Macaca fascicularis: one gene and its partners. The protein of the gene in region 1 purifies or fractionates together with the protein of each later gene. This does not show direct contact. Links are inferred from orthologs where the notes say so. Each region holds a gene or a part of one and is shown on either strand. Other genes may lie near its edges.

Region 1 (8,310 bases):
CAAGACTAAAATGTCTATGTGCCAAAATTCTGTATTTTATTTGGAGACTTTTTTTTTTTTTTTTTTGAGACAGAGTCTCGCTCTGTCGCCCAGGCTGGAGTGCAGTGGCCGGATCTCAGCTCACTGCAAGCTCCGCCTCCCGGGTTTAGGCCATTCTCCTGCCTCAGCCTCCCGAGTAGCTGGGACTACAGGCGCCCGCCACCTCGCCCGACTAGTTTTTTGTATTTTTTAGTAGAGACGGGGTTTCACGGGGTTAGCCAGGATGGTCTCGATCTCCTGACCTCGTGACCCGCCCATCTCGGCCTCCCAAAGTGCTGGGATTACAGGCTTGAGCCACTGTGCCTGGCTGGAGACTCTTTATCAAAAGTAATGCCAGAGGAAGTCTGAGGAATTAGTAGTGTTCCCATCACTTGTTTAGAGTGTGCTATTCTAAAAGATTTTGATTTCCTGGAATGACAATTATATTTTAACTTTGGTGGGGGAAAGAATTATAGGACCACAGTCTTCACTTCTGATATTTGTAAATTAATATTTTATTGAACTTGTTTTGACCATTAAGCTATATGTTTAGAAATGGTCATTTTATGGAAACATTAGAAAAATTCTAATAGTGCAGAATAAATTAATTAATGTTTTACTTAATTTATATTGAACTGTCAATGACAAATAAAAATGTTTTGATTATTTTTTGTTTTCATTTACCAGAATAAAAACTAAGAATTAAAAGTTTAATTACAGTCAAAAGAAGAAAACACTGTTCATTATTATGGTTATGCAATGATTTCTCATTCTAAAGAATAATTTGTCCCAGAGTCTAGCTACAGTGCAATCTCAATCCACATGCTATTAATTTAGGTTGTGTGATAATCTGATTATTCATTCACCATTTCCTACTTAACATTTTTTGACACTCTTCACAGATACTTTTCCCACATTTCTTGATCATCCCGGGCCATTCTTTTTTCTTTTTTCTTTTCTTTTTTATTAGAGACAGGGTCTTGCTTTGTTGCCCAGGCTGGCCTCAAACTCTGAGCTCAAACAGTCGTCCCACCTCGGCCTCCCAAAGTGCTGGGGTACAGGTGTGAGCCATGGCGCCCGGCCCCAGGCTATTAATCTTTTTTTTGCACCTGCCCCTTATTTCTGTACTGTGACAAGTCCCAGCATTGTGTTGTGGGACTTACACAGTATACTGACAGTTACCTCAGACTTGGTCACGTCTGTGCTCAGTGCATATTAAGAGCTCAACCAAAGCGTGCTGAATCAACAGCCAATGAACTTGATCTAATAAAAATGAGGGCCCAGGAGATATAAATTAGCAAAGCATTTTCTCCTGAGCATTCATACATCTTTTAATATTTGTAGGCAGTTTAAAATTGAGCTCCCAAGCAAACATTTGAGAACAGACACCTTGAGCAAACCGTGAAATCGGTGAAAATAAGAATTTATTTTAATTTTTTTGAGATAGGATCTTGCTTTGTCACCCAGGCTGGAGTGCAGTGGCATGATCTCAGCTCACTGCAACCACTACCTCCCGGGTTCAGGTGATTCTCCTGCCTTAGCCTCCCGAGTAGCTGGGATTTACAGGCGCCCACCACCACGCTCGGCTAATTTTTGTGATTTTAGCAGAGATGGGGGTTTCACCGTGTTGGCTAGGCTGGTCTCGAACTCCTGACTTAAAGTAATCCGCCCGCGTCGGCCTCCCAAAGTGCTGGGATAATGCTTGAGCCACCATGCCCAACCTGAAGACCGGCATTTATACCCATGGAGTGCAGGAAAGGACCTTGTAATTGTTAACAAGTGACACTTAGTGGCAGATGAGACCTAATGAAGCCAGGCCCACCTTCCACACCAGATTATAAATTCCCCCGGAGCAGAGAGTAAATGTTTTATTCACCAACATGCCCAGATCCCTCGCAATGCCTACGCTTGACAAACACCTGTTGTGAACAAGTGCACGAGGCAGCCTAGCAGCTAGAGTATTTCGAGGTCATCCTAACTGGGTTCCACTTTTGAATTTTTGTTTTTTGGGTTCGTTTGGAGACAAGGTCACCCTCCACTTGGGAGCAAAGTCTCCCAAGCTGGAGTGCAGTGGTGGGAACTCTGCAATCTCAACCTTGTGGACTCAAGTAATCCTCCTGCTTCAGCCTCCGGGGTAGCTGGGGCCAAAAGTGCGCGCCACCTTGCCCGGCTCCTATTTTGGGTTTCCGGTAGTGCTCTCGCTATTGTGACCAGGCTGGTCTCGAACTACTGGGTTCAAGCAATCCTCCCACCTCGGCCTCCCAAAGTACTGGGATTACAGACGTGAGCCACTCGCCCGGCCGAGTTCCACTTCTGAAAGCTTGGGGAGCCGCTGGGCCTTCCAGGAAAAGTGCTCCACCTCCCGACTGCAGGCAGAGCCCCCGGCCCGGCTCTTTCCAGGGCCTAAAGCTAACATTCGGTCAAAACGCGAAATGCGGAATTCGGGTCAGGGTGGCAAAGCAAAGCGCGATGACAGTGAGGACGACGTCTAGACGCAAACACACATCAAATCGGGCCGAAGCCCGCTGTCGCCTCGCGGGCTAAACCTGGCACCCCGGGCAACGCGCGACTCCGGCACCAGACGCTCTCCGAGTCAAACTACATCCCCCGGCGTGCACTGCAGCGCCCGCCCCTGGCCGGCCGGCGGGGCCCAGGAGGAAGGCGGCCGAGCTGCCCGTCCCGCAGGTCCCCTAGGGCCCTTTCTCTGCGGCCTTTCCCCACCCCGGACCGGGCACTTCTCGGGCTCTGCGACTACCATTCGCCCCGCTCGCTCCCTCAGGAGTCGCCTAGGCCGCGCAGTCTGCTGCCTTCCCGTCAGGCCTTCGCGCCGGCGCTCCCGCAATCACGGGCTAGAGAGGGTGGGCGTTCCGGCTCGGGAGGACCCTTCTGCGGCCCCGGAAGAGCCTCGTCCTGGGCAGCGGTGGTGCGGCGGTCGCCGTTATGGCCACGGGACTGGGCGGCTGACCGCCGGGCTAGGAGAGGGCCCAGAGCCCCGAATCTGGGTGGCCGCTGCTCGAGCGCGTCCTGCGCCATGGCCGCCTCCGCCGCCTCCTCGGAGCATTTCGAGAAGCTGCACGAGATCTTCCGCGGCCTCCATGAAGACCTACAAGGGGTGCCCGAGCGGCTGCTGGGGACTGCTGGGACCGGTGAGGCGCGGGTGGGCCACGCCGTGGGGAGCGCGGCCCCGCGCGCTTTGGAATTTTCCCCCACCTTCCTCCCAGACCCGGGCCCGCGTCTCCTTCCTCCGCGTCCTCAGACACGCCCCCTAGGGCTGGCTGGGTCGCAACCCCGGGTCTCCCTGCCACTGAGAGTGAATTGGGGACGCGCCCAGGGACGCGGGGTTCAGTTCCCTGGGTTCCTTCTATGGCCTTCCACATTTTCTCGTTTTTTTCCACTGCGGCAAACAGAGCAGAGGGGCTTTTACATCTGCGGTCCTGTAATGTAGCGTGGGTTTCTTTCGTAGCTGTTTTTGTTTGTTTTATGCATTTAGAAGCACTAGTCTCAAGACAGGTCTAGTTTTCACCAGACTGACAGAGGATCTGTAGCACAGAAAAAGGGTTAAAAACCCAAAAGAGTCATAATTTGGGGCGTTGGTATATACCTGTTATTGGAGGGTAGAGAGCTGGCCTTTAAAACCTTATGGTGGCGTTTAGATGTGGTCTTGTTTTGAACGTTTTTACTGCTGCGACTATTTACTACCCCTTCATTTCATGGTTCAGGTTGCTACAAGTTTTGTCTGGAGGAGCTAGAGTTTTCCGGCCCTAGATCCATAGGAAGACCTGCTATATATAGTTCTTGGCCTCCGGATATGTAGAACTTGATGGCAAGGACAAAACTTTGTTTTATTGCTTTTATTTAAGGATCAGAGCTTGAGTGTTTGCTCAACGAATTACTCAAGGTCATAGGAATTGAATGACTCTGGTGAGAATGAAATGCATGTATTTAATATATATTTATTGTGAGGCTGCTGTGTGCCAGGCACTGTTCTAGGTGCTGGTGAATATTGCAAATTACAGTGAAAAAGACATGCACGTCCCCATTCTAGTGGGTAGGTGATAAACAATATATAACTATTAAGCGGCAGTGTTAAAGAATACAGGAAAATAAGAGTAAAGGAATAGGGGATGGGACTTCAGTTTTATTTTATTATTATTATTATTATTTTTGAGACAGAGTCTTACTCTGTCATCCAGTCTGGAGTGCAGTGGTACGATCTCGGCTCACTGCAGCCTCCACTTCCCAGATTGAAGCAATTCTCCTGCCTCAGCCTCTGGAGTAACTGGGATTACAGTTGCGCCACCACCCCTGGCTAATTTTTTTTGTATTTTTAGTAGAGACGGGGTTTCACCATGTTGGCCAGGTTGGTCTCTAACTCCTGACCTCAAGCGATCCGCTTTCCTCGGGACTTCAGTTTTAAATAGGGCGGTTGTGAAAGTCCTCTGTGAGGAGATGGCATTTGAACTGAGACTTGAATGAAGAGAGGGAGTAAACCAGAAATCTGGGAGAAGTGAGTGTCAGAAGGAGGGAATAGCACTGCAAATGCCCTTAAGCGGAAATGAGCTTGGTGTGTTCAACGAAGAGCAGGAAGTTCCATGTGTTTGGGATGAAGTGAGCAAAGGAGAGAGGTAGGCAGGGCCAGATCATGTAGGGCCTTGTGGACCATGGTGAAAGACTTGTGCCTTTTTCTAAATATGATGGGATGCAGTTAAAATATATTGTGCAGAACCATTGTGGGATCTGATTTATGTGATTGAAAAGTTGACTGCAGGCAGGGCACGGTGACTCACACCTGTAATTCCAGTGCTTGGGGAAGCAGAGGCGGGCAGATCACTTGAGGTCAGGAGTTCAAGACCAGCCTGGCCAACATAGTGAAACCCTATCTCTACTAAAAATACAAAAATTAGCCAGGCATGGTGTCAGTTGCCTGTAGTCCCAGCTACTCAGGAAGCTGAGGCAGGAGAATTGCTTGAACCCAGGAGGCAGAGGTTGCAGTGAGCCGAGATCCTGCCGCTGCACTCTAGTCTGGGCAACAGAGCAAGACTCTGTCTCAGAAAAAAAAAAAAAAGGAAAAGACTGCAGGCTAGGCGTGGTGGCTCACACCTGTAATCCCAGCACTTGGGGAAGCTGAGTTAGGATTATTGCTGTATTGAATGATTTTGAGACCAGCCTGGGCAACGTGGTGAAACGCCATCTCTACAAAAAATACAAAAATTAGCCAGGCATTGTGGTGCGTTCCTGTAGTCCCAGCTCCTGGGGAGGCTGAAGTGGGAGGATCACTTGCGCCCTGGAGCTGGAGGTTGCAGTGAGCCAAGATCGCACCACTGCACTCTAACCTGGATGACAGAGCAAGACTCTGTCTAAAAAAAAAAAAAAAGTAGACTGCATTTTCAACCTGGCACTGAGTTAATTTTTGCATTGCCCATTTCTATAAGGCTAAATAATGCAAAAGAACATTGCTTGAAAAATAGAAAATTGAATTCATTATTACTATGGTTTGAATGTCCCCTCTAAAACTTATGTTGAAATTTATTTGCCATTTTAATCGTGTTAAGAGGTGGGACCCATAAGAAATGATTAGACGATGAGGGCTCCATCCTCAGGGATTGGATTGTTATCCTGAGAGTGGGTTGGTTGCTGAGAGAGTGGGTTAGTTCAGCCCTCTCCTGCTTGCCTGCTCTCTTGATCTGTTGCTCTTCCACCTTCTGCCATAGGGTGACACATGGGTAGCAAGAAGGCCCTTGAAAGAATCAGGCCCCTCAGCCTTGGGCTTCCCAGCCTCCGGAACTCTGAGAAATACATTTCTTTTCTTTATAAATTACCCAGACTCAGCTATTCTGTTATAGCAACATAAAGCTAAGATAGTTACATTCACGTTTGTTGTCTCCCCAGCCTTTTTCTCCATCCTGCAAAGAGGACAGTCGGAAATATGTGATTTTTTTTTTTTTTTTTTGAGACAGAGTCTTGCTCTGTCACCCAGGCGGTGATACAATCTCAGCTCACTGCAACCTCCACCTCCTGGGTTCAAGCGATTGTCATGCCTCAGCCTCCCAAGTAGCTGGGATTACAGGCGCATGCTGCCACACCCAGCTAATTTTTGTATTTTTAGTAGGCATGGGGTTTCACCATGTTGGCCAGGCTGGTCTCAAACGCCTGACCTCAAGTGATCCACCCGCTTCAGCCTCCCAAAGTGCTGAGATTACAGGCGTGAGCCACTGTGCTCAGCAGAAATAGGTGAATTTCTACCCAACCACAAAATATTCTAAGTTGCTGGCAACAGACATAGTTGTAAATAAAGTATATACATATCCCTAGAATTGTAATAAGAAGTCCAGCAACTTTACCTCTTATTCACTGCCTCGTTCACACTGCTCAATAAATATTTGTTGAATAAATTGAATTTATCTAAGCAAACACATGGTGCCTCATCTCTGAATCCGTCTTTTTCTAGTTCAGAGACCACATCATAAAGTTTTCAGCACTTTAATGCCCATCATGAATTATTAGGCACAGCATAATGTACATAATACAGCCCTTGCATGTAGCTTATGCTGTGTAATTGAATTAAGTTATTTTTCAATAAACACTGAGAATTATTATGTATCAGCCACTGTCTGGGTCCTGAAGACTTCCAGAGTACTTACCTTAAAAAGAAACAAACGGCCGGGCACAGTGGCTCATGCCTGTAATCCCATCACTTTGGGAGGCCTAGGCGGGCGCATCACAAGGTCAAGAGATAGAGACCATCCTGGTAAACATGGTGGAACCTTGTCTCTACTCAAAATACAAAAATTAGCTAGGTGTGGTGACATGCGCCTGTAGTCCCAGCTACTCAGGAGGCTGAGGCAGGAGAATTAACTGAACCCAGGAGGTGGAGATTACAGCCAACAGAGCGAGACTCCATCTCAAAAAAAAAAAGTAAACAAACTTACAACAAAGTGTGTGATTAATTCTAAAATAAAGTTCTCAGAGACCATAAAAAAGGCTGGACTTGAGCATGGGGAAGAGAGGGGAAGCTTCAAAAAACTTCAAACTGAATATAACGGGTTAAATGGGAGTTTGCTAAACAGGGGAAATGCAAAGAGGCAACACAGGAGTTAAAAAATGGAATACCCCTAACTCTGGAGCTTAGAATGTATATGGGAAAGTAGTAGTAGATGGGGCAGGTGAAACAGCCAGATTGTGAGGGGATCTTAGTGTGACATTGAGACGTTTGGACTTGATATGGAAAGTCAGTAAAGGACTTAAAGCAGTTGATTGATGTGGATTTTCTTTTAGAAGGAGGGCATTAATGGCTAGACAGAGGATGAGAGAGATCTCAAGAATCTGGGTATAGGGGACTGTGTTAAGAGCCTTTTGGGCAGTTGCCTTGGTAACACAGGAATTTGTTTGACACAGGGTCTCACTCCTGTCTCCTGTCATCCAGGCTGGAGTGCAGTGGCACCATCACTGCTCACTGCAGCCTTGGCTTCCCAAGCTCAAGTGATCCTCCCACCTCAGCCTCCTGGGTAGCTGGGGCCGCAGGCGCATGCCCCTAGGCCTGGCTAATTTTTTGTAATTTTAGTAAGGGTCTCCCATGTTGTCCAGGCTGTTGTCGAGTTCCTGGGCTTAATTAAGATCCACCCACCTCAGCGTCTTAAAGTGCTGGGGTTACAGGTGTGAGCTACAGTGCCCAGCCCAAGAGGTGGTTTTGAGGCAGAAATTAGGAAGAAAGATTCCAGGGTGTCTGCATTTTTTCACTTGGTCAACTGGGTGAACGATGAACTTAAATAAGAAACATAAGAGGAGAGGCAGAGTTTGGGTTGTGGATGAGAATATCAAAGGTACCTGCAGAACAGAGATCATGACATAATATATGTCCATTCTAGCCTCACAGAGTATTTCTTCATGGGTGCAGCACACCAACATGGCACATGTATACATATGTAACAAACCTGCACGTTGTGCACATGTACCCTAGAACTTAAAGTATAATAAAAAATAAAAATAAATAAATAAATAAATAAAATAAAACATGGGGGCCAGGTGTGGTGGCTCATGCCTGTAATCCCAATATTCTGGTGTGGTGGCTCGTGCCTGTATTCCCAATATTTTGGGAGGCCGAGGCAGGAGGATTGCATGAGGCCAAGAGTTGGAGACCAGCCTTGGCAACATGGTGAGACCTATCTCTACAAAAAAATATATATATATATTAGCTGAGTGTGGTGCTGCTCACCTGTAGTCCCAGCTGCTCAGGAGGCTGAGGCAGGAGGATCACTTGAGTCTAGGAGTTTGAAGTTTTAGTGAGCTGTCATC
Region 2 (7,574 bases), on another chromosome or scaffold:
GTGAAGTGAGCGGTCCACCTTGCCCCGCCCCACCTGGCTGCAGCCTCCACCTGGTGGCCCCGGGCTGCTCACTGGTTCACTCTTCTGGCCAGGACACCAACCTGGCACCCTGCAGGCTGAGGCAGCAAAGGCTGCTGCTCTGCAGTGAGCAGTGAGATCTATAGCTGCCACCTGGGCCTGCTGGCACTGGCTTTGGAGCGCCCGCTGTTAGCATGGCACAGCCCTTGCAGTAGCAGCAGGGAGACAGCTTACCCCCCGTGCAGCAACATGGACTCACGGGGTTAAGTCTCCTCCATGCCTGGAAAGCAGCGGACCACCAGCAGACACCTGGGCCAGCTGGCTCCTGGACGAGCTTCTGACACACTCATGACTGCTACTCTTATCTCTGGTCACCAGGCCTTGTGCACTCGGACAGGTGGAGCAACACCCAGCTCTGTGGCCCGGCCCCTCCTGCACCCACCCACAGAGGGCTGGAAAGGGGCTCGGAGCAATAAAGCCCAAGTTGGGGAGCTATGGCCCTGGCCACTGCCCATCCCCGCAGTCATTCCTACTAGCGATGCCCAGCTTGACTTCTGCCTCTCTGAGCCCTTCCTGGTTACACTTGGCCATCTCCTCCTTAGTAAAATGGGGGCAAATCACAGAATGCACAAAGAAATCAAATGGGTTAAAAGATGCCAAGCATCTGGTATACAGTAGGAACCCGGTAAATGGCAGCTAGAGAGGAAATAGGGGACAAGCAGGGGCTGGGCCGCGTCCCTGCCCCAGGTATACACACTACCCCCAGCCCCAGCTATCAGTCAGGCCCAGGAATAGGCCTCGCTGGCCCCAGTCTGCCCTGAGCAGCAGCGGTGGTTGGGTAACCGAGGAACCAATAACACAAATGAGCATCACCCTTCCCCACCCAGAGCCACCAAGGTGGCAGCAGGCCACCCTCTGTAGAGGGAGAGGAATTCAGGAGCCCAGCCGGGCCTTAGGCACACTCCAGCTGCCACTTGGGGGCAGGTCCTTCTGGAGAGAGTCCTGGAGGAAGTGCTGACCCAAGACAGAGGACTTCTAGGCTGCCGAGGAGACCAGTGACGACGAGGGCCCCAGGGAGCCGGCCACCTGCTCCAGGAAGCCAGGCAAGGTTCCAAATTGGGCGTCCAGAGCTGTTTCACAAGGCACCTGGCCAAGGGCAGAGGCTGTGGGGAGCCCAGGGCAGGCAGGGGCCCCCGGACTGATGAAAGCCAAGGGTGTCCTGACTGGAAGTTTATCACACACCAGGTGCTGCGCTGGGCATGACTCCATCATCTCACAGCAGTCTCTGCTTTAACAGATGAGGAAACAGAGGCCCAAGAGACTGACTTGCCCAGGATCACAGGGGAGGCAGGGTCCTCCCAGACCATCCACCACCTGCACTGCTGAGCCACACACAGCTGCTACATGACATTCTCTGTGAGGTGGTTTTTTTTTTTTTTGAGACAGGATCTCATTATGTTGTCCAGACTGGTCTTGAACTCCTGGGCTCAAGTGATCCTCCTGCCTCAGCCTCCCAAAGCACTGAAACTACAGGCATGAGCCACTGCACCTGGCCTTCTGTAAGGCCTGACTAGCCTCAGACACACAGCAGCCGCTGCCCTTGATGCCAGTGTGCCCCTTGCCCCACTGGGAGCCATGGCTGGGGTGCGCATCTTTAGGCTGTAGCTCTGGACACTGCGCTAACACCCCTCCCTGCTCAGCACCACCTCCCCAGGGCTCTGGACATGGCACCTGCTCTCAGCTCTACTCAAGTGAGGCTCGCCTCTCAGAACTGCCCCCTTTCTTCCCCGAAAGATCTCCCCTAGCCAAATTCTCCCCCTCCTAGCCTCAGCTCTGCGCAAGTCGGCCTCTGTGCCCTGGATGTGGCATCATCTTTATACTTTCCTACCAGTCAGAGTCCTCAGCCACCTTCTGAGCTTCCTAAGGCAAGGGAAGGGCCACATCCAGACTCCAGGCCCACACCCTGCAGAGTCTAGCTGGAGAGCTAGAAAAGCTCAGATCAAACACAGGGGACGGACCCCACCATATCCCACTGCCAGGTAGGGCCTGTCTGCAGGAAGTGAAGAGTCTGCTGAAAGAGCAAATGGCACTCACTGTTCTGCAGCCTGGCGCTCAGTGCTGCCCCAGAGAGTCCTTCTAGTCACTCCAGAAGAGGCAGCAGCTGAACATCACAGATGCTAAGACAGCGCCTCTAGGCCAACCAGTTTCCCAGGGAGCAGAAGGAAAGGCTTGGCGGGGCAGCTTAATGGAAGGCATGGAGATTTCCTGGGGTAAGTCAAGCTTAAAACCAACTCAGGGTCTCCCTGGGTCATCACTGCATCACCCACGCAGCCCGCTGTGGCCCCGTGCTACCAGCCAGGCAAGCTCCACGGCCCACCCAGTTACAAGGCTGCTCCTCCGCCTCTTGCCAGGCCTGAGCCCCACCATGTGACCACTGAGGCCAATGTGTGAGATGCTCGGCTGGTGAGGAGCAACTGGTTAGTCTAAGGACAGAGAAGTGCTACTGGTCAACACACAAATTCATCCTCGTCTGGGAACTAATATCTCAGATCATGACAAAGGGGTATGCCAGCGGTTCCCAAATACGGTGTGTGAACCAGTGCTCGCTGATCCATGGAGGAAGCGCCCTGCACTGCTGCAAATCTGTCTTCTCTTGGGAAGAACAGACCCTTATTCCAAGATCATTTAGCTGCTTTTTACTTTTTAAAGATTTATATATTTTCCATTCCCCTGAGATGACAGTGACAGTAGATGGTCATTTTTAAAAACTGCCTGTGCTTTCTAATTAGCAACCTGTACCTAGCACCAAGATTTTAAAAAATAAATTAAAATTCCCGCCCCATACAAACACTGGGCTGGGCTTCCTCTTCAGGAGGCACCCAGGGGGACAAAAACTGTTTTCTCACCATGAGTCAGCCCCAAACTGGGCTTCTGTCCCTAACACGCTCTCAGTTTAAGTAATTTGTTCTCTGGCAACTATATCTCGGGCTCTGTTCTCTCTAATTCCTCCCCAGGATGTAGGGAAGCCAGGTTGGGCTAATTTCCGCTCCTTTTTCGGCAGCAACTCCTACCTGGCTGGTCTCAGAAATCCCCCCCACCCTGCTCCCTTCTGCATGTTAATTCTGACAACAGAACAGATTTTCCTCTCTCCCCGGCAGGCGGTGGGTCTGCAATGGAACTCCCACTCCCAAATGCTCCGGGCTTGGGAAGGGGTGATCAGCTGCACCGACAGGGTAGACAGGGGGCGGAGACTTGAGCAGGGCGCGAATGCCAACCACAAGGAAGGGAGCCAGTTCTGAAGTCAAAGCTCACTCTACCTCAGGCGCGTCCCTGCCAGCCTATCACGTCGGCCATTGGAAAAACCAGAGCCTCCAGGAAACCCGAGGACTCGATGCAGGGTGCTAGGACGGCGCTTTGGGCCAGGCAGGCAGCCCCTGTGGCCAACAGAGATCCTCACCTTGGGGGTCAGCTTTCTTGAATGCGTTGCCGGCGTCCACAAAGCAGGTGGCTGCGTCGTGCTTGCTCTGGAGCTGCAGGTGCAGCTGCGCAGCCTGGCAGAACGCGTTTCCAGCAGCTGGAACAGAAGAGAAGGGTGGTCCCGGCCTCAGTGGGGCTCCACACTTTATGAAGCCACAGAGGCACTGCCCTGGGAGGTGGATCGGGCTCTTGAAAATGTGGAAAGAGTTCCCAAGATAGGACGAGGGTGACCTGAGCGAGCCCAGACTGAGGCCTAGACCTCAGGTCTGCTGGCTCCTGCACTGAGGCTCCTGGTGGTGTGCCTGACAGTCTCTAAGGGCGGCAGGAAGCTGCCTCAGGGGAAGCCCCTGAGCCCCAGGTATATGGAAAGAGAGCCAGGGTAAGCCCAGGTAAAATGCCATGTCCCTAATCCCAGCTATGCTGGTATTTCCAGGGCCACCACTTCTAAAGATCCAAGGAGAAGGCAGACAGAGCTGAGTTGGAAAGGATATAAAACAGAGTGAGTGGCCTCCTGCACCTCCCAGCCTGGGCAGTCCTCCCTAGGGGAGCCTCAAAGCACAGGGCCCAGAACCACCACTAGAAGGCAAAGTGCAGGTTGAATCACGGGGTGGCTTGGGAGGGGTATTTTGGGAAGCAAGGAGCAACTGAGATTAAACCACATAACACCTTCCCATCTACTCCCCTTTCCAAGTCCTGTTTCTTTCTCCACAGCTCCCCAAAGCTCTTCCTGATTCACCCAACTCCTCTGCCTCCGTTCACATTGTTCCCTTCACTGCAGATCCCCAAGGACAAGGCACCTGTGTGAATTGTGAGGCTCATGGAGTTGGGGTCGGACAACACAGAGCCGGCTCCCTCCAGGAACTGCACGTCCAGAGAGGGAAACAGGATGTGGACACCAAGAATGAGTACATGCAGACCAATGCCAATGGGGGAGGGCAGAAGAGACGGCGCCTGAAGCCTCGTCTGTCCTGTGCTCATCTGCACACAGTCAGCTTCTGTGGGTCCCAAGCCATTCTGCCCACACATCTCCTAACTGACGTTTGGGAGGCAGCAGTGTCTCTCCTCCTCCTCGTGGAGCTGACCACCTCCAGCTCAGTTCTGAGGCTTCTCCCCTTCATTCTCCTCCAGCTGAATCTGAGTCAGAGTTTCTGAGCTGGAAGAGGACCAGGAGGCCTAGCCCCATCCTCTTAAGTTTGAGCAGCAGAAGAGACAAAGCCTTCCAGATTTTCACTATATGATTTCATTATTATTTTCAAGAGTTCCAAATTTGAGTATAAAATTACGGCCAGGCATGGTGTCTCATGCCTGTAATCCCAGCACTTTGGGAGGCCAAGGTGGGCGAATCACGAGATCAGGAGATGGAGACCATCCTGGCCAACATGGTGAAACCCTGTCCCTACTAAAGATACGAAAATTAGCTGGGCATAGTGGCACATGCCTGTAATCCCAGCTAGTCGGGAGGCTGAGGCAGGAGAATCGCTTGAACCAGGGAGGCAGAGGTTACAATGAGCCGAGATCGCGCCACTGCACTCCAGCCTGGCGACAGAGCAAGACTGTCTCCAAAAAAAAAAAAAAAAAAAAAAAAAAATTCAAGAAAACGGGATAATACCAGGGGGAAAATGGCCTAGGGCTTTTCTTTGAAGAGTTGGGGGGCAGAGGTAACAAATTTTAGGAGAAAAGCAACACCTATGTAATTAAAAAAATAAACTTTTTTTCTCTAGAGGAATTTTCTTAGTTTGGGAGCATAAAAATACACAGAACATTTGGCTTTATTCACAACGTATTTTATGAAAACTCAGGAGTAACTCTTTGAATTTTTGGGAAACCAACAACATTCTCAAAATGATGATAATCAATTTTATTGTGCACTTCTGCGCCCTGCCTCCATGGTCCTACCACTAGGTCCCCTCTCCTCCACAGTCAGGAAGTGTCTCCCTGTGTTCAAACACTGGTCTCTTGCTGTATTTCCTTAATTCGATCTTGGTGACGTGAAAGATGTATTATGAAATGGGCTTCAAAAGGGCTCAATGCACTGGCTTGTTGGATTTCTTGGGCCTGCAGGGAGCCCCAAACAGATCTCCAGCCTCCCTGGGCCCAAGGGGCTCCTCCCCACCCCTCTCCTCCATGAAGCTCTCCTGCCTCACTGGGGCAGGTTAAACACTCAGGCTCTGCAGTAACAGCCTTGGTTTCTGAATCTTGGTTCTGTCATTTACTAGTTCTGGCACCCCGGGCAAAAGACTAAGCCAAGCCTCAGTTTCCAAATCTGTAAAACAGGGATATTTACAGACTGACCCTTAGGGCTGCTGTGCTAATGCCATTAAATGATGAGCACTTAGTACTCAACAAACAGTAGCCATGATTCATGTTGTTATTGGAATCACCTGAACATCCCCCCACCCCGCCACCACCCCAGCCTAGAATTCAGACACTGATGGAAGCACTAAGGAAGTTACCAGGAAACCCGAAGTTCTGAATTTAAGGAGGACTCTAAGAGCTCATCAATCCACATGGGTTTATCCAGGTCTAATAATCTATTTATTCCCATCCTCTCTGTCCTTTCTCCAAGGCCCCATGACCCAGAGTATAAAGTAACCCAGCAGGCACAAAACAATTAGAGAGCAGGCCAGTGGCTTTCCGATGACGGAGATGGCATAAAAAGAGAAGGGGCCCTCAAGGCCAACCTCTGGGGCAGGCCTGTGTGAGTGGAAGCTGAGGGAGGAGGAGAGCACCTCGGAGGAGCTCTAGCGGAGATGACATACCACTCCAGTTTTTGGCCATTTTGAACATGTTTGCTGCTCTGGCGTAGATTTCACATGCTTCCTCTATTTTGGATGAGCCTCTGGGGAAAAAGGAAAGAAAAAAAGGAGACAATCTAGTCTGCTATCCAGGAGAAAGCAAGCATTCTGCTCCAGTGCCGGTACAGACGTGCCCCTACCCCTCACCCTTCACCTGTGAAGCCAGCTTCCCGCAGGCCTCCTGAGGCTGTGGCCCCCGCCCCTGCATACAATGGCACACTCAATTCAGGAGGACTGGGGTAGATACTGGGTGCTCGCTGGGGTTGTGGGGCGAAGAGTTCCTGACCCCACCACGACCCCAGGGTCTGACAGCCTCTTCTACTTCCTGCCTGGGATACCGGGGGCCCACTGGGTCCCAGGCGCGCTACAAATCCCCTTTCCCCAGGAGACTGCAAAGCATTCTGGGGGATTAGCCCAGTTTAAGACATCGTGTTGCTTTCGCAGAGGGAGCCTTAATTCTGTGCCTTGCAACCCTGGAGTGTGTCATTACCAGTTCAGGACTGGGCATATATATCACACAGCCATACAAATAGACAGGAAGCACTATTTTAAAATGTAGATATAAAATGTTCCCGTTTGTGTTTAAAAAAAAGAGGGTGGGCTGAGTGCGGTGGCTCATGGCTCCTGTAATCCCAACACTTTGGGAGGCCAAGGTGGGCAGATTGCTTGAGCTCACGAGTTCGAGACCAGCCTGGGCAACACGGCAAAACCCCATCTCTACAGAAAATACAAAAATTAGCAGGGTGTGATGGCGCACGCCTGTAGTCCCAGCTACTAGAGAGGCTGATGTGGGAGGATTGCTTGAGCCCAGGGGGCGGAGGTTGCAGTGAGCCAAGATCAAGATCACACCACTGCACTCCAGCCTGGACAACGACAGGGCCAGACCTTATCTAACAACAACAACAAAAGAGTGAGAAGAATAGAAACATACATGTTTATATAAACATAGGATATTTCTGGGCAAATACACAAAAACCTAGTAACAGCATTTTTCTCTCAGGTGGAGCCTGAAGAAGGAGGGCCAGGTGTGGGAGGCTAACTTATTCACTGGGCATCCCGCGTTTGTACTACCCGAATTTTTTTTTTTTAACTGTCTGCACATCTTTTCAAGAAAATATATATATACACACACACACACATAAACACACACACGTGTATATGTGTATAGATATGTGTATATATGTATATATGTGTGTATATATCTATATATAGAAATACACACACACACATATTTTTAAGTATTAGGATTTATATTCGGCCCTGTGGTCCAGCAATGAATTACAT
Region 3 (7,574 bases), on another chromosome or scaffold:
TTTGAACTTCATTTCATCTCATTTTCCAAATCTACTAACTCTCTGCTCCCTATTGAGCTCCTCCACCCAGAACCCAGAAATCTCTACGTACAAACACTGTTTAGCTAAATGTGGTAATATGGAATTATACAAAGTGTATTTTGTTTTTATTTTTAATCGAGTTAGCACCATTGCTATTTCCTTCTCTTCTACAGGACTTTCAACTAGAATATATTAAAATCATATCAGCAAAAGCTCAGTTAGGTACTGTTAGCCTACCACTGGTAAATACTAACAGCTTCCCCCAGAGGGGTCATAAATTTAAACAAGAATGATTTAGAACCCTAAAATATTCAGGTGGATCACATAGTTAAGTATGGTTTAGATCTCAACTCTAAAAGGACAGTAAGATTTTGAAGTACTAACTTGATTTAGAACACCTCTTATTACTCTGTTCTCACACTGCTATGAAGAACTGCCCAAGACTGGGTAATTTACAAGGGAAAGAGGTTTAATTGACTCACAATTCAGCATGGCTGGGGAAGCCTCAGGAAACTTACAATCATGGCAGCAGGTGAAGCAAGGCAACTTCTTCACAAGGCAGCAGGCAAGAGTGACAGAGCAAAGTGGGAAGAGCCCCTTATGAAACCACCAGACCTCATGAGACTCACTCACTATCATGAGAACAGCATGGGAGAAACTGCCCCCTCGATTCAATTACCTCCACCTGGTCTCTCCTTTGACCCATGGGGATTACGGGGATCACAATTCAAGATGAGATTCTGGGTGAGGAAACAGCTAAATCATATCAACCTCTTTCTAAGAATGTACTTTAAAAAGCTTTTCAAATACTAGAAAATGAACTTTGGATTCTTCTTTCCCTTATACCAACGAACTTAATTTTCAATATATGAACCTCTAAATTTCAATCTGAAAACTTCCTAAGTCTACCTTGCAGAAAGAATAAATACAATGATTAAGGTTAAGGACATATGCTTCACTGCAAGGCCCCACTTAAATATTAACGTCTATAGGAGTGTCCTTCAAAAAACCTACTACAAAAAAAAAAAAAAAGAAAAACTTATACAAAATAATTGGGGATTTACTTATCTTACAAAAAATATGTCACCTAACAACAAGGCTTCCTCATCCGAACAGTATTTTGAACTGGCTAGAGATTAAGAATGTCTAATCCAAACACTCACTGTGGATGGGGTATCTGAGGTTCAGAAAGGTTTCTCCCTCATTAAAATGTGGGTTTCTTTATAAACAATTTACATCTATGTATATAGAAAGGCAACTAATGAATAAAACAAGTAACAAGAATATATAAAGTTCAGTGATAATCTACCATTTGAAATAATTTCCAAAGGAAATCACATGATATTAAAGACTTTGGCAAACACATACTAAGGTTCCTGCCTAAGATGACTCTTAAAAAGCCATATGTTAGCACTGGTATGATCCCAAGTCTTTTTATTCAAGGAAGCTGCTTTCTAGTACATATGTTAAAGACAGCTGGTTCTCTTACATCTAGTTATGCTAATCAAATGGCTTAGCCATATAGTTTCAAAATATGAAACATTTTAATGACACAAGATTGTACTTAAATAATATTTTTTCTTAGATTATTTAATAATGGGTATTATTCTAAATAACTTAGAACTAAAGATTTGTTCACTTGGATCAATTTTTTACACTCTGATAGATGCTTGCTTGCTCTGGATAACTCTGGAATGGCTGTCAAGCAGTTACATATGGAAATGTCAGTAACATAGGTTGCAAGAGTTCCAGAAGCAATTCAGATGGCGGAAGAGGCTGCTATCCAAACCCAGTAAGAGTCACTCTTCAACAATGCAAAGTGATTACCAATCAATCAAAAAACCAAATGGTTTCTACAATAGTAATTGTTTTGTTCATCAAGAAATAGAGTACACTAAGAAATAAAAAGTGAGAAAGATAACCAGCTTGAAGAAACTAGAGATATGGACAAGGGTCTAATCATTCAGGATGACACCATTTGAATGTACCCTGCCCAAAGCCAGCAGATTACTGTCTTATTTTTACTCTCGGAAATAAGCCTGACAGGCCGGGCATGGTGGCTCACGCAGGTCATCCCAGCACTTTCCGAGGCCGAGGCAGGCGAACTGCTTGAGTTCAGGAGTTCAAGACCAACCTGAGCAACATGGTGAACCCTGTCTCTACAAAAAATTAGCGTGGTGTGGTAGTGCACGCCTGTAGTCCCAGCTACTTGGGAGGCTGAGGCAGGAGAAACACTTGAGCCGGAAGGCAGAGGCTGCAGTCAGCTAAGATCGTGCCACTGCACTTCAGCCTGGTCAACACAGTGAGACGTCGTATCAAAAAAAGAAAGGCTAAAAACAGATTTCTTTTTCTTCAATCACAGAATTTTGTTTTTTTGAGGGTGCAGTGACATGATCATAGCTTTCATGATCCTCCCACCTCGGCCTCCCATCTTGGTCTTCCATGTAGTTGAGACTACAGGTGTCTACCACCATGTCCAGCTAATTTTTCTATTTTTTTTTTTTTTTTTTTTTTTGTAGAGACGGGGTTTCATCATGTTGCCCAGACTGGTTTCAAATTCCTGGGCTCAAGTGATCCACCCACCTCTGCCTCCCAAAGTGCTGGGATTACAGGCATGAGCCACTATGCCCAGCCAATCAGAGAAATTATATGTGGGGAAGCTCACATTTGATTCATATTTAAAAAGTGGTTTCAGAGGTGACCTATTAGTTTACAATTAAGGGAAAGAGCTCTAAGAAGTCTGGCTATTTCTTATACAGATAACACAATAAGATCATATTCCTTACCCTGACAACTTGCCGAGTACTTGTAATGAAGGCTTTTCTTATACTCAATTCAGTTGCATCGAGGTTAAATTTTCTAGGATTTGCTTCAACTATGCGTAGGTCAAAAAGTCAAGGTAAAACAATTTCATCATCGAAGCCTGACAACATCCTGTTAACTCACTGAATCTCTCACATGCAAACAAATAAAATCTGGCTCACGCTTTCTGAAAACATAGTCAGCTGGACACCAATCATTCTCCGACTTCCTCTGCCTGCAGCCACTGGAGGGAGGATCCCTTTGCCCCAAGACAGAGATGACCTGTCGGATTAAGAAACACAGCCCCCGCTGATGAGCTTCACTACAAACACTTAGGGCTATCTGACCACAGCTGAGCTGGGTTCTTCCTGTTTGCCAACCCTTGTGTCTATCCTTTTTTGACTCCTGATCATCTTTACTAAGCCAGCTTTTGCATGTCTTTTTCTCCTGCCATTCCAAACCACTTCCAATTATGCCAAGATGCTAACCCTACTTCTTAATCTAGGGAGATCAGGCCTTCTTCAGAGAAGCTGCCCTCATTCCCTTACCCTCTGGCCTGGTCCGCCGCACCATGTCAGACACTCGCACAGCTCTCTACACTTCTCTTTCATAGTCTGCAAGTATCTATTTGTGTTATTATTTGATTGCCATCTGTTCCGCATCCCTATCCACTCAAAGTTATGTGAGGGCTGGTATAGTGTTTATTAATCTAATCTCCATAACCAGCAAAATGCCTGGCACATAGTATACTCAATAAACATTTGCTGGTTGAATGATGAGTATCTATTAAAACTTTTGTATTTTCAATCTCACATTTTCTCTATCTCCTCTAACTTTTTTTCCTTCCCTCCTGTCTCAACGGAAGAATTATCTCCCTGTAACTGTGCTTTTGATCCTGCCCCCTCACATATTTGCCACTAATCTTAGAGAACATACTTGCCTTTTAATAATTTAAAAGGTACCCGCGGTCATCATGAATAACAAAAATTTACTCCATGTATCAACTGCATACGAATCTGTGCTAACTATAGGGTGATCCTGACAGAAGCTGGTTTTCTTGATGCTTTATCTCACTTAGAGAAAAAACAAAACAGAACTCAGAGCATGCAAGTGGCATATCTTCCATCTAAAGTTTTGGTTAAGTGGGATTTCCAGTTGAAAAGAAAAGGCCATATAATGAAGTTTTTACAGTTCTCCAGTGCATGAGTCAGATCAGTGGACTCACTTCACATCAACACCATGAATTAGCAGAACAGATCTGCTTTTACTAAATGCAGTTTCATGGAACAAGATGCCTCTTTGATGGACGGCGCCCATTGAACATCACTTCTTAAACATGACAGTCTACAAAAAGATTTTTTGATCTCTAATTACCAAAGTGTAACACTGGCCTATATGTACCTCTATATGATGATGACTGCTGCACTATTACATAAGCTGTTTGCCAGGCACCGTTCTAAACTCTTTACCTGTATAATCCCAATAATCCTATGAGCTAGGTACTCTTGTTATCCTAACTTTCCACTAAAGAGGAAACTGAAGCACAGGGGGTTAAGTGATGGGCCCAAGTAACATGGTAACTGGTTGTGATACTATAACATAATAAATACAAATTTGGTCTCTGCACCTCATTCCTGGCAAACAGCTCCTAGATCCCTTAGAATCTCCAGAGTGATGAGTATCTTTTGTATGTTAATGGCATAACTGATGGTGGGGGGGTTTCTAGATAGCCTCAGGATGAGGGGCTGGTCCCCAGAGAAACCAAGCATGTGATTAGACAGTTGAAGCTTTCAGCCCCCTGCTCAACCCCACCCCAGGGGAAAGGGACTGACGGCTGAGTTGATCACCAATGGCCAACTGATGCGATCAATCATGCCTACGAAATGAATCCTCCCCAAACACCCAAAAGGACAGAGTTCAGGAAGCTTCCAGATAGGTGAACATGTGGAGGTTCCTGGAGGCACCTGAAGAGGGCCTGGAAGTGCTGCACCTCTTCTCCTACACCTTGCAAGCATCTCTTCCATCTGGTTATTCATCTGTACCCTTTGTAATATCCTTTACAATAAACGGATAAACCTAAGGAAACTGTTTCCCAGAGTTCTGTGAACTGCTCTTGCAAATTAAATTAATTTGATCTATGGAGGGAGTTGTGGGAACTCCTATTTATACCTGGTCAGTCGGGAGCACTGGTCACAACCTGGGGCTTGCAACTGGCATCGAAGTGGGAGCAGTCTTGTGGGACTGAGCTCCTAACCTGTGGACCTGATGCTATTTCCACGTAGACAGTATCAGAAATATCATACCGACTTGTGAGGGTAGAGACATTAAAAAAAAAAGAGAAACAGGGTTTTTTTTTTCCCCCTTTACATTGGTGGAGCCAGGACTTGAACACCGGGAATCTGATTCTGGGGTCCAGAGTCATAATCATTACACCATGCTGCCTTTAAATATATATATATTTATAGTACAGGATTTGTCACACACTGTACAAGAATGTGGCTACTCTACCTTAACTTACTGGGCAAATACTTTAAACATATCATGGTACAAGGAAGAGCAACAAACATCAATCAATTATAAAAGAAAATGTTTCAACTACATAGTGGAAACAACTGGAGAAAAACTTGTCTATTTGTCTGTTTACCCAAAATGGCACAGACAGCACAGAAAAGGATATTGATGGTTTCATCAAGGTCCTCTAGATCCCACTCTATGCTCCGGAGGTTGTTTCTCAGCTCGTTGGTGGTCCAGTCGATTTCTTCCCTTGTTGCTGTGGAGGGGTCCTGGAGGAGCTCTGTCCATCTCTGAAACAATCCCTGGGCAGTGTTGACAGCTTTCTGTACCTCTCTGTAATCAAGATGAGGCAAAGGAGAGAAATTACAGGCAACATTCCATGGACAAGTTACTGAAGGATTTAGGCTAACATTTATGATCATACACCATCCTCAGCAACCACCATTCCCACAGAAGGCTCTTCACAGACAAATATCAAAGTTCAAAACTTTGATACACAGTCTGAGTATTATGTTCTCAGCTGATGCTTGGAATACAATATCCATTATTTAAGCAGCTACAATATCAAGTTTGTTGGGGAAGGACAAATTTAATATTTTTCTCTGAACAGACTATACATAACAGTATAATGAAGCAATCCTACAAATCAACTAAAGGGCAATGGGCATTCCCACATGCTTTCACTTGGTGTGATAGTATTAATAATTTATACTCAGATGAAAAAGTTCTAATATAGCCTTTCTTTTCTTGGTATGGGAGGAATGAGAATGCTGGAGGGAAGGTTACTCTTATATAGCTCCCGTTTTATTATAGGTTAACAATTTTAATCCGAGAAATTTTTAAACTCAAAATCTTATTTCCAAACATTATTAGCTTTAAATATACCTACTTTCCTTAATTAAGCAATACCATATACCAGATTAGCGTTTGTTTTTGTTTTGTTTTTGAGATAGAGTCTTACTCTTTTGCCCAGGCTGGAGTGAAGTGGTGCGATCTCGGCTCACTGCAACCTCCATCTCCCAGGTTCAAGCGACTCTTCTGCCTTAGCCTCCCAAGTAGCTGGGATTACAGGCGCCTGCCACCACGCCTGGCTAATTTTTGTATTTTTAGTAGAGACGGGGTTTCACCATCTTGGCCAGGCTGGTCTCGAACTCCTGACCTCAGGTGATCCACCTGCCTCGGCCTCCCAAAGTACTAGGATTACAGGCATGAACCACCGCGCCCAGCCAGATTAGTGTTTTTCTTGTTCAGAAAATGAGACGAGGCCATTAAGTGCTATGATCTAGCGTGTTTTTAGATTAGATATAGTCACAAGATTTTAAGAACTGTTACCCCCACCATTGGGCCAATATCCACCATTTAAATATTATAATCTAATACTACCACATATAAAAGCCAAAAAGGAGTCATTTTATAACCATATGGTCTCTCATGTTTAAAGATGATAATCCCACTACTCCCAAACTATAAGAACTGTTTTGATTCTTCTATGATTTCTTCTGGAACAAAGACCACAAAAAAGTGTTCTAGATGATTATGGTGTTTGTTGTCTATGGCTTTAAGACAGAATTCACACACATCCTATACCCTCTGACGTTTCAAGTACTGGAAAAAAGAAAGCACTAACAAAAATGAAGAAAAGCACCTTACAATATTTAGGTCTATGGCATACTGACGAGAGCTAAGAGGCTGAATGTTAAACAGAGAATACAGCTACTAGGCGCAGGCTGAGTAAATAAGCAAGCCAAATGGACAACAAATCTACCAAGGTCTATTCACATCTAGTTTACAGCTTAGGCAAGTCACCTCACTGTTCCTTTCATGTCAGCCTTTAGACTTTCAGTGCTAACGAGAAACCCTATTTAAGATAAAACGGGGAAGAATTAAGTGAGGTGCAAATCTATTTTCTTTACTCTTTATGGGATCTGGGTGATTCAGTGGAGAAAGAGCTATGTATCATTCCTTAATGCAAAGTAAGTCATCCTTTGGTATCCTGGGGGGATTGGTTCCAGGACCCCCACGGGATACCAAATCTGCAGATTCTGAAGTCCTTATATAAAGTGGCATAGTATTTGCATATAACCTACACACATCCTCCTACATACTTTAAATCATCTCTAGATTATTTATAATACCTAATGTAATTTAAATGCTATGTAAATTGCTGTTATACTGTATTGTTTAGGGAGTAAGAAAAAAAAAGTCTGTACATGTTCAGCAAAGATGCAACCATTCTT
Region 4 (7,574 bases), on another chromosome or scaffold:
GAGGTGGGCAGATTGTAAATTTCTATAGATATAGAAACTTTAGGCCAGGTGTGGTGGCTCATGCCTGTAATCCAGCACTTTGGGAGGCTGAGGTGGGCAGATTGTTTGAGGCCAGAAGTTCAAGACCAGCCTGGCCAACACAGTGAAACCCCGTCTCTACTAAAAATACAAAAATTAGCCAGGTGTGGTGGCACATGTCTGTAATCCCAGCTACTCGGGAGGCCAAGGCAGGAGAATTGCTTGAACCTGGGCTACTTGTGAGGCTGAGGCATGAGAATCACTTGAACCTGGGAGGCAGAAGTTGCAGTGAGCCGAGATTGCGCCACTGCATTCCAGCTTGGGAGACACATCAAGACTGCCTCAAAAAAAAAAAAAAAAAAAAAGAAAAAGAAAAAGAAAAAGACTTTAAAGAAAATAAATTCATTCTTTAAAGAATAAAGTAATTTTGAATAGAAAATTTAAATTCTGAACAAGGGGAGAAATGAAACAGTTTGTTTCTTTCCTCAGTTCCACTTCTGAAAGTAGGACAATTCAATAGGTAGACAGATAAAAATAAATAAATCCAAGGTAACTCTTGGAAAAAATCCTTAGCATATGGCTAAGTCAGGTTTAGAAAGTTACTGCTGGCTGGCACAGTAGCTCATGCCTGTAATTTCAGCACTTTGGGAGGTCGAGGCAGGCGGATCACCTGAGGTCGGGAGTTCGAGACCAGCTTGATCAACATGGAGAAACCCCGTCTCTACTAAAAAAACAAAAAACAACAACAACAAAAAAACCCAAAATTAGCCAGATGTGGTGGTGCAGGCCTGTTAATCCAAGCTACTCGGGAGGCTGAGGCAGGAGAATCGCTTGAACCCTGGAGGTGGAGATTACACTCCAGCCTGGGCAACAAGAGCAAAACTCTATCTCAAAAAAAAAAAAATAAAGAAAGAAAGAAAAGAAAGTTATTGCTAAACTTGAAAATGAGAGACTAAAAACAGTTCTTGTCTAAATTTTTAACAAAGCCAAAAATTATACCTAGAATCAGAAAAAAAGATTTGCTTATATAACATGAAAAACATTTTCTGTTAATGATTAGTAGCCACAGTTGATTTAAGAAGTAAATGTATTTCTATACAATGTTTTGGAGGAGTATATTAGTATGTAGACATTCTCAATGTTTTCCTTGTTAAAAATGTTAAAAATTTCCTTTACTTTTTATTTTTCTGGAATAATGAGGGAAGTGGAGTTTTTTCTTAACTCCATTTGCCTTAACAGATTCGGATATGTAAGCTGCTGTTATTATTTCCCCTTTCAACTAAAAGTCGTATTTTTCTCTAGCTCTCACTTTATTTTTTTGATATCTCTATATAATGCTAGAGGTTGCTCAAAAAAGTACTAACAGTAAATTTCAAGAAAAAAATGTATATTTGTTACAAGTTAATAAGTCTAGAGGTAGCCAAATATTAATAAAATGTGGATTACTCTCATGAAAAAAAATCTATGAAAACATCCTTTTAGGCATACTGATTTATTTAGTTATCCCTATCCCAAAAGCAATTAAGTTAACAAGTATTTACTGAATTTCTACCATGTCTCAGGACAGTTATAGGCCCTGTTCTCACAGATGTTATGCTCTAGAGGCCCTTTTTCCTTCATGTGTTTGAATACCACTTCAGATGCTGACCAATCTATCCAGGAGCTTCTGATTTACTTACTTTGCATCCGCGCCACCACATTTGCCTTCGAAGTTGTTTGGATCTGTTGCTAAAAGCTGTTGCATTATCCGATAAGCTTTCTATATCACATAGAGGATGGAGAGAAGGATTAAACGACATAACAGGATTCTTTTATCTAGTCACACAAAGATAAGAAAATATTAATTTCTACTTCTGCAAATTTATTCCCTTTTAAGCATGAAAACAACATTCTCCCTTTTTTCCACCCACAAACTCTGGCATTCTACATTATAAAAAAAACAAAAACAAAAACAAAAAGTAAAAAACAGTTTGCAGATCAGTTTGCTCAATCCTTTTTTATTATAAAATTAAGAAAAGTCTTTTTAGGGCCTTAATGCTTATAAATAAGCTTAGGAATTCTAATAAGAAAATACTCTTTAAAAATTCAAACACTTGGCACACCTCTAGAAAAAAAATTACATGTAGAGAAGTTAGCTTTTTAGAAGATATCAAAAGTGACTGATTTTAAAGGAAAACAATATACATTTTAAAAGTGACTAAGCGAGGTTGTCTTTTTTTTAAGTCTGTCAAAGATTAATCAGGTATTCAGCCATTCACCATTCAAACAATATTTGAGTGCCAAGTACATGCCAGGTATGGGTATATAGGTTATAGGTGTAATGACTGAAAGTAAAGAAAGGTGACTAAGTTACCAAATGAAACATAAAATAAAAATAGCAGATAAGTTTGAAACAAGTGTTGAAAAGTGAGTAGGTCTTTCGGCCCTGAGATCGTGAGAAACACAAAGTTCATCAACATCAAAGTGCGAAAGAAAAAACAGCTCTACTCTTCACTCTTCAACAATGAAATTTTAAATTCTTCATTCTCCAATGAACAATTAAAAAATAATGTAACAATAAGATGACTCAAAGTAAAGGAGTTAAAATTAAACCATTAAAATCATACACTTAAGAACCAAATACCAGTTTCCTAAGCCAAGATTTGTAAATGCTGGCTAGATAAGTAGAAGAAAAAAACTAGCAAACAGATTAGTAATATCAAGGAATACATGAAGATCTGTACCTGATTTGTCCTGTAGTTCATCTAGTCTCTCCCCTCTCTCAATTACCTTTGTAATATTTTCTTGCATGACATCAATAACTTCATCCACTTGATTCTGAACACTAGTTTAAAAAAGTTAAACAATTATTTATCCTTCTTTTGAGAATATTTACAATTTCTGAAATTTCATTAGACATAATAAAGAACAGCAAATTCTCGGAGAATTATTCAACTATTAAATTTAAATTTAGGACTTTATAGCAATGTTCTTCCATTTGTGGGCTTCAGTATTCAGATAATGAAAGACAATTTGATATAAATTAAAGTAATATTTAAAGATAGCTTACTTTTAGCCCTGCTTCTGACTTGCAACCCATAAGCAAGTTAAATGTACTGTCAGCATGCTCATTAAGTGCAGAGTTTAAACCGCTTCACTAAAAATAATCAGGTTTTCTTTTCAACAGGCTATTGAGGCTGCACCCTACTTTTGCTATATATTTCATACACGAAGGCTAACAAAGGAGGTATGTTAACATACTTTTTAACATACCTTTTGCTCAGGTACGGTAAAGGCTTATGAAACATTCCTAGTTTCCAGAATGGAAATGTAGGGCATATTCTAAGAGATACTGATGCTCAATGGGTAGAATTCTTCACTGCTCATCAGATTTTTCTTAAACAGGGTATAAGATAACTGGGGACACCTGGGAATATTTTGAAGAACCCACCAGGAAGCAAAAAGGAAAAAATTGTTTTCTGTTTTTCGATTGTTTGTTCATCCTTTATATTAGATGATGGGGGTCTGTTTTAACCAAATTTCAGGCTGTTCAGTAAAGACTTAACCTAAACTTAAAATTGTAATAACTGTCTTCAGCTATCCACTCTCATTCAGGAGTTAACTCCAGAGTACACAAACATGGACATGTTTAATCATTTTAAGTGTCTTATTCTCCTCTGTGGCTCTAACCACAAGACAAAAAGTTATCTTAAATTACTTTATGAAATAAGTCACAACAATGAAATATTTAAAAGGAGAAATAAAGCAAATCCATGGTCCTCACAACTAAACACTGTTTAAAGTGCACTGGATTACTTACTGCAGACATGTGCTGCATAACATTTTGGTCAATGATAAAGCACATTTACAACAGTGGTCCTATAAGTTATAATACCATATGTTTACTGCATGTTTTCTACGTTTAGATAAGTTTAGACACACAGATACTTACCATTGTGTTATAATTACCTGCAGTATTGAGTGCAGTCACACGCTGTATGGCTTTGTAGCCTAGGAGCTACAGGCCATACCATATAACCTAGGTGTGTAGTAGACTACACTCTGTAGGTTTGTGTAAGTACTCTATGATGTTCACACAATGAAACTGCCTAATGATGCATGTCTCCAAACGTAGCCTGTCATTAAGGGTCCATGACGGTTATAAACATTAAATGTATAAATATTTAAATAAATGAAGATATGCAATTGCGTTTCTAGTTGGAAAAGGAAGAAGTGAGTAGGGGGCTTTAACAATTTTTTACAATACACAGATATGGTCTCCGCCCTCTACCCCACACAAGTCCCCAAACTAATGTAGTAAGTGAGGAGTGAGGCACGGTCATGTTTAATTTTGAAAGAGTTCTATCCTTTCCGATCACTGAGCTAGTTCTTTAAAAAATTTGCTATAAAAACAAAATGAAGGCCCATTTAGACATAGGTGGATTCAGAAGTACTCTCAGATTCAAGTAGCAATTACTAAGCTTGATGACAGTAACCTCCATCCCAGGTTAAAAGCATTATGTACACCCACTGATTACCCACACATAAACTTCAAGATTTTTCACAGCATCCCAGAGTTCTGTGCTTCCCACATATTATTCCACTGGAGGATATAAGACTGAAGCTCAACCAAGTTGGGCATGCAGAGTTCTCTTCTGTCCAAACAGATCTGAAAGAACCCCTAAGTCTCTAAGACATCTTGTTGCAACTCCCAGTCCCCTAAGTAGAGAGTTGAAGGTGTTCATCTTATTTAAGAACAATGGCACAAATACACAACTAATTAATTTCTTCAACAAATAACGAGAACCTACTACGTACTGTTTTAGGTACTGAGGAAGTAACATTGAACAAAATAGACAAGTAATCCCAGCCCTTACGGAACATATGTTCGAACGTACATTGAATGCACTGTATTAACCTTATAGCTGTGAAACAGCATGCTCTACCCCATTACTCTATCTTATTTATAGCATGTAAGCAAATATAAAGTGATAGTAATTGTACCTATTTACTTATTTACATGCTTATTTTCTGCCTCTCCCCACCAGAAGGTAAGCTCAATGAATGCAGTGACCTTGCCTATTTTGTTCACTTTTGTAAGTCCAGTACCTATAGTCGTGCATGGGGCACAGTGGCCATTCAACAAATATTTGCTGAATAAATGAACAATTTGAGTATAAATCCTATAAAGCATATCCAGCTACTTGAGGGGGAGATATAAAGCAGTGAGTGTAGAGACCTCCATTTAACTACAAACAAAAGTAAAGCTACTGTTCATCAAGGATCAATTTTGAAATTCCCAGCTAGTTTTTTTTGTCATATGCAAATGATGATAATTAATGGCTTAAAGTAGGGTGCTATGGCAGGACAGGAATGGACAAAATGTACTAAGGCTCCTACACACGATCAGATTATAGCTATTATGGATATTAATATACATATACTATATATACTTTTAGACGAGATTGGGTACGTTCAGGGTGGTATGGCCGTAGACATTATATATACTTTTAAAATGAAAACAAAAAGCTAATAAAATAGTTATGGTCCCAGAATCTCTCTAAGGCCAGGCCTGGTGATTCATGCCTGTAATCTCAACACTTCTGCAAGGCGGATGGATCCACTGAGCCTGGGAGTTTGAGACCAGACTAGGCAACACAGTGAGGCCCCGTCTTTACAAAAAGATTTAAAAATAAGCTGGTTATGGTGGCATGTGCCTGTGGTCCCAGCCACTTGGGAGGCTGGGGTGGGAGATTTCCTTGAGTCCAGGAGGTTGAGGTGCAGTGAACTGTGACTGCACCACTGCATTTCAGCCTGAGCAACAGAGTGAGACCTGTCTCAAAGGAAACAAACAAACAAACAAACAAAAAAACCCCCAACAAAACCCTTTAAGGATAACATTCCATGGATATAGGCAGATTAATTGGGACAGACCCATAAAATTCCAGATTCTTACTAGAGTATCATAAACCTACAAGTATTCCAACAACATGGCACACATGTAATAAATCACTATTGATAATGGAAACCCCAAATAATATTTTAATTTTTCTGCTACATGATTCGTGAGTTATTGCTGCTTTGTCCTTCACACATTACTATCTGCTGGTGTAACACTCTGAATCCAGCTACTGTGTAACCTTCACTCAATGATGAAAAATCTCATGACTGTTTTCTGTGTGTCAGGATATTTCCCCACCCAGAACACAATTTTTGTAGAATAAAGAAAATGATCTACTTATTTACTTTAATATGGAGATAGTTTGGTTTACAAAGCAAGTGATAACATACTTCCCCACGATCTTTTACATTTTCACAATAGTTATAGTCCTTTGATTTCTATTTGTATTTCACACTGGTCTTGTCCCCATTGTTATACTACAAATGCCTTAAAAACAGAGACTGACCCACTTATCCCTTTATTTCCCAGGTCATGTGAAATGTGGTTGGTACAAGGTAAGCATTTAACAAACATTTTCAAATCTGAGTTAAATATATCATTCACTCAAAAAACATTTATTAAAAAGTTATGGCTAGGTGTGGTGGCTCAGGGCTATAATCCCAGCACTTCAGGAGGCTGAGGCGGGAGGATCGCTTGAGCCCAGGAGTTTGAGACGCCTTGCCAACATGTCAAAACCCTGTCTCTACAAAAAATACAAAATTAGCTGAGCATTGTGGTATGTGCCTGTAGTCTCAGCTACTCAGGAAGCTGAGGTGGGAGGATCCTCCTCCGGGAGGTGGAGGTTGCAGTGAGCCAAGATTGTACTATTGCACTCCAGCCTGGGTGACAAGACTGAGAACGTGTGTCTAAGAATAAAAAAAAGTTGTTATTATGCTATTCATCAAGGTTACCATCATGAAGGTTACGAGCCTGGTATTTAGAAAGATTATATTCCAGTAGGGAAAACTGATATCCATGATTATACTACCATGTGTTAAGGGATATAATGGAAGGAAGCCCACAGTATCTGACATGTAGCCTAGATGAATTCAGCCTGGACCAGAGACGACATCAAGACCCCTGTGCTGAGTTTTGAGGAGTCAAGAGTTAATCAGGGAGAGTAAAAGAGGCCGTGGATGGTGAGAAGGTTCTAGGATAAGGAGATATATGTAAGAGGAGGCAATATTTTAAGAACTAGGAGATTAACTTGATGTGAGTGAAGGAATTGGGAAAAGACTAGATAACTCCTAGATTTATAATTTGAGCAATTAAGTGGTAGTAGACGATGGCTATGAACTAAAATAAAAAATTAAGAATGCAAAGGAAAAGGTAATTTGTGAAGGAAGGGTGGAGATTTTTATATCATGGCCAGTCAAAGGCGATTCATATGAGATAATAAAAGACATGAGAGAGAACATAATGAGGAAAAGACATTTTCAATACTGTTTTCCATCCTTTTAAGAGTCTGAGAGCACCTGTGTTTCTGAAATGGCTCTATTCTAATTACCGACAGAGAAGCTGTAAGGTATAGTGTAGAACCCCTGGGTTCTGTATTCAGACAAACCTGGGTTTGCAGTACAACTTTATCACTTACTACGTATGTGACTTTGGAATTCACCTTGCAAGTCTGTTTTAG

What was found.
Region 2: the proteins of VTI1B (region 1) and NAPA purify together in Homo sapiens (affinity purification with mass spectrometry; 3 studies listed by BioGRID and IntAct, counting the BioPlex papers as one, with this or other methods). This does not show direct contact. The link is inferred for Macaca fascicularis from reciprocal best matches to the Homo sapiens genes VTI1B and NAPA.
Region 3: the proteins of VTI1B (region 1) and STX6 purify together in Homo sapiens (affinity purification with mass spectrometry; 3 studies listed by BioGRID and IntAct, counting the BioPlex papers as one, with this or other methods). This does not show direct contact. The link is inferred for Macaca fascicularis from reciprocal best matches to the Homo sapiens genes VTI1B and STX6.
Region 4: the proteins of VTI1B (region 1) and VAMP4 purify together in Homo sapiens (affinity purification with mass spectrometry; 4 studies listed by BioGRID and IntAct, counting the BioPlex papers as one, with this or other methods). This does not show direct contact. The link is inferred for Macaca fascicularis from reciprocal best matches to the Homo sapiens genes VTI1B and VAMP4.

What each region holds. Positions count from the first base shown.
Region 1 is NC_088381.1:135,574,276-135,582,585, reverse strand, and holds the start of VTI1B (vesicle transport through interaction with t-SNAREs homolog 1B), read left to right. Parts: upstream 1-2,895; 5' UTR 2,896-3,049; coding exon 3,050-3,164; intron 3,165-8,310. UniProt on the Homo sapiens protein: V-SNARE that mediates vesicle transport pathways through interactions with t-SNAREs on the target membrane. These interactions are proposed to mediate aspects of the specificity of vesicle trafficking and to promote fusion of the lipid bilayers.
Region 2 is NC_088393.1:55,518,121-55,525,694, forward strand, and holds part of NAPA (alpha-soluble NSF attachment protein), read right to left. Parts: intron 6,335-7,574; coding exon 6,255-6,334; intron 3,593-6,254; coding exon 3,476-3,592; intron 1-3,475. UniProt on the Homo sapiens protein: Required for vesicular transport between the endoplasmic reticulum and the Golgi apparatus. Together with GNA12 promotes CDH5 localization to plasma membrane.
Region 3 is NC_088375.1:38,490,023-38,497,596, forward strand, and holds part of STX6 (syntaxin-6), read right to left. Parts: intron 5,671-7,574; coding exon 5,501-5,670; intron 2,903-5,500; coding exon 2,808-2,902; intron 1-2,807. UniProt on the Homo sapiens protein: SNARE promoting movement of transport vesicles to target membranes. Targets endosomes to the trans-Golgi network, and may therefore function in retrograde trafficking.
Region 4 is NC_088375.1:29,324,859-29,332,432, forward strand, and holds part of VAMP4 (vesicle-associated membrane protein 4), read right to left. Parts: intron 2,843-7,574; coding exon 2,742-2,842; intron 1,834-2,741; exon of another isoform or gene 1,778-1,833; coding exon 1,698-1,777; intron 1-1,697. UniProt on the Homo sapiens protein: Involved in the pathway that functions to remove an inhibitor (probably synaptotagmin-4) of calcium-triggered exocytosis during the maturation of secretory granules.